2 linked regions of the Bombyx mori genome follow. Each later gene encodes a partner of the first gene's protein in a complex. Links are inferred from orthologs where the notes say so. Each region holds a gene or a part of one and is shown in the gene's direction. Other genes may lie near its edges.

Region 1 (4,829 bases):
AAAAAAACTAATATCTGCATTAATAAAATCAGTATTTTGTTATTAGGAGTCAATTTAACTGAGTGCAGTATGAATAGATAAATAAGAACTGTCAGTAGATTTTGTATTAAATACTTACAGAGAACTTTATTTATCTAATTTAAGCTTAAAATTAAAATTTAATTTGAATTTAAGCAATTAATGCTAAATAAGCAAAAAGCTGACTAGTAAGCGATTGTAAGCCTTAAAACAGTTAATAATACCCACTATGTATTGTCGCTGTTTGGTTTTGTTGTGAAACCCTGTTTATAGTATGGGTTGGAGCTTCATTCAGAACAAACATAGCTCTCCTGGCCGTCACCGGAGCTCCTGCTGTGACAACCCTTGTGACTTGAGCCCCCGAGTTGGATACTGCCACAGCAACAGCACCCACTTTATCTTGGACTTGCGGTGTCTTGTGAGACATAACAGTGAGTGTTGTCTCTGGAGACACCTGAAATGTTTTATTTATTGTTGATTATTTGTTTTTATTTATAAAATGATTTTAAGTCTTTACTGAAATGAAACCTATTTTGAAACAAAATAGCACATATAAGTACACAATTTCATAATAGCTTTTTTTTGTTGCTAAATATTAAAATAACTAGAAAATTTACTTCAAGTGAAAGCTGATTGTTGTTAATTTCATTCAATCTTGCTTATGGTTAAAACTTTGAGAGGATGCACTTTGAAATTAAAGTGCACAATAAATGTTTACTCTAAAGTGCTTCAGTTATTTAATTTATTTTATTTAGACCTTACCGTACTCCCAAGCGAATAACTGAGGCTGCTCGGAGTTTCGACATCGCCCTTGGTAAGGTCCGCGGAACTCGTAAAGCCCCAAGAATAACCGAAACCCGAAACATTGTTCGGTGTTGGCATACACATTTTCACCACAATATAAACTTCACTACATAGAAATGTAAACGCACTAACACAGATTCACTATTTGATAGTAAACAGTCCTCATGACAGTTTTATCATTGCGAACATGTATGTACGACCTCACAACCACACACGCAAAACGCACTCATTGACAGCGACGCCGAATATCAAGCGAAAACAACACTAATTTACAACTTGTGATGGTGTTCTGTGTAAATAACGATGAATCTTAACTTTAGACGACATCTAAATTAGTTTAATCAACCCAATATAAAAGGCGGCCCAGAACAACGACGCTTCAACGAACATTGACACGCACATTATTTACAATAAATAGTACGTTATTAGAAGTCATATATGCATTTATAAGCTTCATAATTACATATAAAATAAAAAACACTTTCGTATGTCAAAAAAAATTGGAGAAAATCCAGATTTTTATGAAAACAATTAATTTATCGCACACACAAAAAACCTGACGCCATTTTATTATTTATGGTCATTTGAAAACTGAAGCATAAACTTTTAAATTTCTAGTTTTTTTTTTGTCAAAGACAAACTTTATAAAATTCTTGAAATTAGTTTATTTTTTAAGCCCTATAACTAATCAATCAAAGCTGTAGTTTCACTAAAAGATTTTTGGTATTATGAATAAATGTACTTCTCTGCATACTGTTCTACTTTTGAATTAATTTCTATTTAAATTGGCTGAATTTTTCATCCTAAACGCTTTAGAACTAACAAAAATTACGTGATTTAATTACACCACATTCTTTACATGAAATGTCAATATTCTTGGGGTATTTTTTAATTTATCTTAGTTACTTGATACATAGGTAATAAATTTATGCACTCATAGTCTGACTTCTTTGCAATATTACTAATTAAGACAAGCTCTTCAAGAACTCAAGTACCTGACTTTTCATAGATTTAAGTATAATCTGCCACCATCATGTTCTTTATGGAAATTGAATACATATTTTATGATAGATTTCAAATTTGAAGTAAACTAAACCTACAAATAAATACATCCGTTCGTTATGTATAATAATAATAATATTAAAGTATCAACAGCTAGCAATATAAATGTAGAAACAGCCTGTCATCAACTGTCACTGTCAACTTAAAATTACCAAAGAAAGTATAAAATACCTACCTACCTAGGTAGGTACATAAATATAACAGTTTAAACCTTAAATCTGAGTTTGATACTTTTTCCCTAACATATAGATTCAATATAGAATTGACCTATTTCCCGTTTATGAAATAGACATAGACGTCTTAAAATTCAAAATGAATCCGATGTCAATGGACCGAGATGAACCTTCCTCATTGTTATCATTTTCCTCCAATCACCCTCTAGAACAGTTTGTCCTTTTAGCAAAGGGAGCTAAAGGTTCTGCGTGCGCTGAACTCATCAAACAGGTTCTGGAGGCTCCAGGAGTGCATGTTTTCGGCGAGCTATTAGAGATGCCAAATATTAAAGAGGTTAGAAAACTTACCTTTATATCGATCAATTAATTCTAATACATTTTTAACCATTAAATGTATGAAACTGTCCGAATTCTATGGGTAGAAATCAATTTGGCGCTCTTGTTAAAATTCATTTTATTGTATTTTTCAGCTGGAGAGTGGACCTTATGCAACTCATTTAAAAACTCTTAATTTGTTTGCCTATGGCACATATAAGGACTACATTGAGAACAAATCGGACTATTTAGAATTAACCACAGTCCAGTGCAAGAAATTACAGCATCTGACCATTGCAACACTTGCAACACAAGAGAAATGTATCCCTTACAGTGTGTTACTTGAGGAATTGGATATTAAAAATGTTAGAGATTTAGAAGATCTTATCATTGAAGCTATTTATGCAGGTGAGTTGATTTTCCTACTATAGTGTATATACAAACAGTCCCTAATAAAAAAAGTGTCAGAGTTGTTGATTCATAAAACAGTATTAAAATTCAAGTTTGACTACATGCATTTTATACCTTGTTTTTTTCTTTTTCGAGTTATTCTTGTGGTGTATATGAGAAAACAATTCAGTGCCGAATTTGATGTAGTATCTAATTTATTTAGTTCATGTTTTATATAGATTAAAGCCACATATATAAAATGTGCATTGATAAAGAATACATATACACTAAATAAGCATAACTTCTAAAGTGTCCATATAAAAAAAAATCATTAAATCTTAAATGAATTTAGCTACCAATACAAATAGGAAACTGATGCTACAATGACATGAGCCATGAGCCCTACTATTATGTCTTCAGATAATTTAATGCATCTTAGTGGAATAAAGTTGGTATGAAGTCGTCGTGGCCTAAAGGATAAGACGTCCGGTTAATTCATGTTGAAGCGATGCAAAGGTGTTCGAATCTCGCAGGCGGGACCAATTTTTCTAATGAAATATGTACTCAACAAATGTTCACGATTGATTTCCACGGTAAAAGAATAACATAGTGTAATAAAAATCAAACCCGGCAAAATTATAATTTGCGTAATTACTGGTGGTAGGACCACTTGTGAGTGCGCGCGGATATCTACCACCGCCCTGCCTATTTCTGCCGTGAAGCAGTAATGCGTTTCGGTTTGAAGGGTGGGGTAGCCGTTTTAACTATACTGAAACTTTAGAACTTGTATCTCAAGGTGGGTGGCGTCTACGTTGTAGATGTCTATGGGCTCCAGTAACCACTTAACACCAGGTGGGCTGTGAGCTCGTCCACCCATCTAAGCAATAAAAAAATTACTTAATTAAAAAAAAAGTTTTATCATAAAAAATTCAATTACAATTTGAGGTTTTACAATATAACTATTGGTTTACCTTATAATTACAAGTACTTATGCTTAGTAAGTCAATGTTATGTTCCCTGTTTGAGTTTGTATGCCCTGAAAACAGTTTAACATCCTTTTATTTATCCATATAAGCATATATTTATTTTGATTTTTCTTTTACTATTTTATTTTGTTTTTACCTTCGTAGAAGGGGAGATCAATCTATTCCATGTGGTAGTAAGTAGTTGTAGGGAAACAAATAAATCTGAATGTGAATATAGCAAGCAAACATCAATAAACAATTACTTTCTAAAAATAGCATTTTTGCACTTCTCATTATGACCATGGCAACTAATTAACAATGCATTCCTTTTAATTATTACTTGTATAAAATTAAGTTCAATAAAAACCTCATTAGACAGATAGTGTGTATTCTTTATTTTACATCAATATAAACATAAATACAAAACATACATCACACAAAAGTAGAATGGGCAGTCTTATTGTCAAGAGGATTCTATTCCAGATAACCATGAAGTGGACAAGAATCACATGAGGAAATAAATTAACCGCAGTGTACTTATTAGTTAAAAGATATTTTTTTAAATATGCACAATATAACAATATATAGATATACAGTATAAACTCATTAGGAGTAGAATACCTTGACGATTTGAATATACATACATGATGTTGAACTATTTTACTGTTACAATAGACCACTCGCACGATAATTGGAAATAATTTACATACTATACTTCCATAGACATAATTCACGGCAAGTTGGACCAGGAATGTAAACGTGTGGAAGTGGACGTGGCCCTTGGCAGAGATGCGCGGCTTGAAGATGCAGCTTCCATTGCTGATGTCCTGGCCGACTGGTGCAATGCTTGTGAAGCAGTACTCAATTCTGTAGATCAACACATACAGAGAGCTAATCATCAGAAACAGAAGGCTATCAGACATCAGCAGGGTATAGAACAGAAGGTGAGTGTTATATTATCTAAGGTGCATGTATATTATATAACAATTCCTAAAACAAAAACATCATCATCAAATACAATGTTTGACCTTCTAAAAATCATATAGTTCTTATAAAAATCTTCGATCAACAATACTATTATTGATCAAGCTCAAAATAAAAA
Region 2 (4,269 bases), on another chromosome or scaffold:
ATAGAAGTCATATTCAGAAAATGTTTCTGGTAGAATAAGTAGCGCTGTGTGAACTGCAGAGCGTAGATTGGATTGTAAAGCACTTTGCAATTGAGAACTGTTGGTTTGTTTAATGATCTCTACTGGTTTGTGTAGACGGCCCGCAAGGTATAAGTCAGTCCAGTCGAGTAGATCACCAACTAAGTCCTTTTGAGAAACAACACCATACTTGATTGTCACATTTTCTTCTTTTAATTCAACAAGGGTGTTGAAATATACTTTCGCCCCCCAATTCTCCTGGAATCTTGCAACAAATCCTTTGCCTAGAAATCGAAGTGCTGAATAATGCGATGGATTTTGTTCAATGTTAGATCCGTGCCATCTATAAGAGTTATCGACGCAGTATATGAGGTCGATCATGTTATGTTTATTCTGATTTCCGACTTGTGGTTTCACAGCAGAGCCATATGCGAAGCAAAATGTGAAGTTTTGAGGAAATTTGGAGAGGATTCTATAGTAAATCGGTGACACATCTCTGATTATGCTGCCAAATGTTTTAGCGGCGGTAGATACCATTATAAAATTAGAAGAAATAGCAGCTGACCTTTAGAGCACAAATCTATTCTTCAAACTTGATTGTGATGTTGCACTGATGTAATATGGTTAATTAGTTGGGAATTTAGATTTTGTTGTGTTACATTTACAATTAAATAGTTATCTTTGACGTTGAATTAAACTTTCGAAGTAACTTTGTCTTCGTTTTGTATATTCGAATAATATCTTCCCATCAATGTGCTAGCTATCATCTGCTACGATAATAAAGTGCCTCCAATATGTGCCCCCGAACCCAAACATGCACATTATTATCCAATGTCCATTAGGTTACACATAAGTGCTTAATCTATGGGTTACACTTTATGGTACACAGATCAGTACTTATGATACCTACCTACTTGATGTAAAACCGTAAAGTGGGGTGATTAGGGATTGAGAGGTGATTGGGGAAAAACCAGGAAAATCTTTAGTCGCTCAATATTAGTTTTATGTTCGTTGCAAAATCTTCCATTTTTTTTAGTTTAATAGTAGAATGTTGAAAGTTCATAAAATAACTCTGAATATGCATGAGAATAGCTGCTACTATTCCCTAGGATAGGGAATGTTAGTAAGATAAGTCAATACCGTTAGTTTTGGAGATGTTTTTTGGATAAAAGACAGTCCGGCGATCTATTTCATTTTAGAAAGAAGAAACACGAACTCGCTCGTTTTCCCGTTAAAAAGTGACTCTCAGAGATACACCTTCCATTAAAATGTAGTAATTTGGACTGTGACAAACATCAGAGAATAGATATTTTATCATAGAATAGAACGAGTATACTGTGCATGACCAAAAATAAAAAAAAAATCTTTGAAAAACTCATCTTTTGTTTATAGCACGACAGTTCAATGCTGCCATGAAATGCATTAAAAATTACCGTACCGCGACAAATAATTATCACCAAAGTGTAGAGAGGAAAATATTATTGTCAAATCATAAATATTAAATTGCAAATACCGACAAATTGATTGCGATAATCGAGACAATACAGATATTTATTTCTCATTATATAGTCCTCTAGTTTCAGTTCATTGAGTTCTCTTATCCCAGAGTTAAAATGTCAAGTGCTGATCGAATTGATTTCGAAATGGAAGTGGAAGTAGAGAGTGCATCTTCAGGTCCGCCGATTGAAGTGCCTAACCCAACATCCCCGGCGCCTACAACACCAGGCAGCAATAAGAGTGTAGTAGTTACGACTGCTACAGCCGGTTCGGTGACCGTCTCTCTCCATCCTTTAGTTATTATGAATGTTTCAGAACATTGGACACGACTTAAGGCACAGGAAGGCTTTCCTCAAACAGGTAATTTATAGGACTAAGTATTATAAATATGAAAAAATGCTTGATCATTTCTCTTCGCACGTTAGTCACTAAAATGCACTCTTGCACTCTTTTTTTAAGAATACAATATATATTATAACTGCAGTAATACAAAATTGTAACATTTTATAATATTTACTTACCTGCTGCGCATAGCCAGGAAGGCAATCCTCAGGAACATGGGCAACCTAACAAATACTTTTGTATATACATTGTCAGCCTAACCATGACCACTCACAAGAATGTCAGACTAAGAAGAAGAAGATTGAAATAATTGTTGCAAATCAACAATAAAATTAGAAAAAAGTCATAATCTTATTATTGATTGATAAAAGAAAAAAGTCATAATCTTATTATTGATTGATAAATTTATTATTAATTAACATTTTTATGTAATATTCTTAATAACTTAGGAAAATAATAAGTTAAATAAAATAATTTGGTTTTTAGTTGTTGGAGCTTTAATTGGGAAGCAAAAAGGTCGCAACATTGAAGTAATGAATTCATTTGAATTAGTGTTCAGTATGATTGATGGAGACATTATTATAGATAGAGATTATTATAATATGAAAGAGGAACAATGTAAGTATAGAAATTAATTTAACAAAAAGTATAAAATAATTAAATATAGTATTTTACAAATCTACTCAAAATAAAGTAGAACAACTATGTTATAAACATTGTTTTATTTTTTATGGAAGTGAAATGATTTCTGAGATATTTCAATAGATAGATCACCTTGTGGGTTGAGTTGTAGGGAACTCCTATTTATTATTTATCAAAAGGTATTATTGCTATTAACATAGATAGGTAGCTAAGCTTAGGTACCACCGGGTGCTGTTTGATTACTTAGGCCTAGAGAGGTATATCAGGAAATTACCCACCTATGCTATAAATAATTGTTTCATGGTGGCTCAAGATTGTAATCACAGCTGAGTTTCATCTCTTGGTACAAGGAAACAACTATCTTACCCATTATGGGCACTTGATAAACTAAACACACCTCTCAATATTTAATTTATTTTCTTCCTTCAGTAAATTAATTCAATGATTCCAGTCAAACAAGTGTTTTCTGACATGGATTTCCTCGGATGGTATACAACTGGAGATGCTCCCTCAGAACGTGACATCGCAGTTCACAGACAGATCTGTGACATTAATGAGTGTCCTGTGATGTTGATGTTGAATCCGGCAGGCAGAAATGGTGATGTAAGTTTTTAAAGACTTGGTGTGAAATATATGTACAACCTTGTTATAAGATGTGTGTTTAAGAGAAAAGCATTATGGCTCTTCTTATATTGACAGTCTGTTCAGAACGCGAATGGAAGAGACAAAACAAAGTGTAATCTTATTTATACTGCTAGTCTTACTTAACAATTAAAATTTGGTGCCAATGATCGATATATTTTTTTACAAAAATAGTTTGATGATGTTACTGCTATCAAATAAGCTAAAAAGCTTGATAAATTATTGTCAATTGGTCATCATGGGCACTGTGATTCTTAAATAATTTGCTCATTGTACATATCCCCTTCCATTAAATCTTCTTGACTTTAGGAGCTCTTAATTCTGTAACATATTAGTCTATAACAATATAATAAATCTTAAGCAAACATTTAGCTACAAACTTAATAACTTTAAACATATTTTCTATACAGCAATTACCGGTAGTTTTGTATGAATCAGTAATTGATGTGGTTAATGGTCGCGCCACAATGCTACTAGCACCTTTAACATATACATTAGCCGCTGAAGAGGCTGAGAGAATTGGAGTAGATCATGTTGCCAGAGTTTCATCTGGAGAAGCTGCTCTCAATAGTTTAGGTAAGTTTTCAATTGTAAATCAAAAGCAGTCAATCAAACATGCTACTTTCTGAAACTGTTAAGACTCTGATAGAATAAGTTGAATCCAGCACTTGGCAAATTAATACGAATTATGAAAACAATTACATTTTCTGTAGATATTGTAATAAATTAATGCATTTTCTACCTTTAGTTGCCGAACATCTGACTGCACAAAGATCAGCTATAAAAATGTTAGTTTCTCGTGTACGGGCCGTACTTGCGACAGTACGCGCTATAAGGGATGGTAAACTTCAGCCTCGACCGGCTTTACTAAGGGAGGCGCGTGCTCTCGCCAACAGATTACCTCTGTTGACTTCACAGCAGTTCCGGACACATTTCTATAATGTGAGTAAGATTATATATTACCGACGATTTGTCACTTAATAGATAATGAGAGTAGTATACAGTATTTGTGTGCAGTGTATGTGTGCACGAACGACTCTTACAGCATAGCTCTTACTCATACCGCAGTTTCCTTAGAAAAATTTGTACCTTCCTGTGGTATTTTAACACCGGTATAGTCGCGTTGGT

Evidence for each region.
Region 2: COP9 signalosome complex subunit 7b (region 1) and transcription factor-like protein share a complex: the UniProt entries of both Drosophila melanogaster proteins name them as parts of the CSN complex. The link is inferred for Bombyx mori from reciprocal best matches to the Drosophila melanogaster genes CSN7 and CSN6.

Annotation. Positions count from the first base shown.
Region 1 is NC_085114.1:3,666,730-3,671,558, reverse strand, and holds the start of COP9 signalosome complex subunit 7b, read left to right. Parts: upstream 1-1,804; 5' UTR 1,805-2,196; coding exon 2,197-2,391; intron 2,392-2,527; coding exon 2,528-2,780; intron 2,781-4,450; coding exon 4,451-4,671; intron 4,672-4,829. Other genes in the region: zinc finger protein 615, read right to left, coding at 247-472, 781-906. UniProt on the Drosophila melanogaster protein: Component of the COP9 signalosome complex (CSN), a complex involved in various cellular and developmental processes.
Region 2 is NC_085121.1:11,232,624-11,236,892, forward strand, and holds the start of transcription factor-like protein, read left to right. Parts: upstream 1-1,469; 5' UTR 1,470-1,631; coding exon 1,632-1,875; intron 1,876-2,343; coding exon 2,344-2,475; intron 2,476-2,950; coding exon 2,951-3,102; intron 3,103-3,551; coding exon 3,552-3,717; intron 3,718-3,889; coding exon 3,890-4,083; intron 4,084-4,269. Other genes in the region: phosphatidate cytidylyltransferase, mitochondrial, read right to left, coding at 1-555. UniProt on the Drosophila melanogaster protein: Component of the COP9 signalosome complex (CSN), a complex involved in various cellular and developmental processes.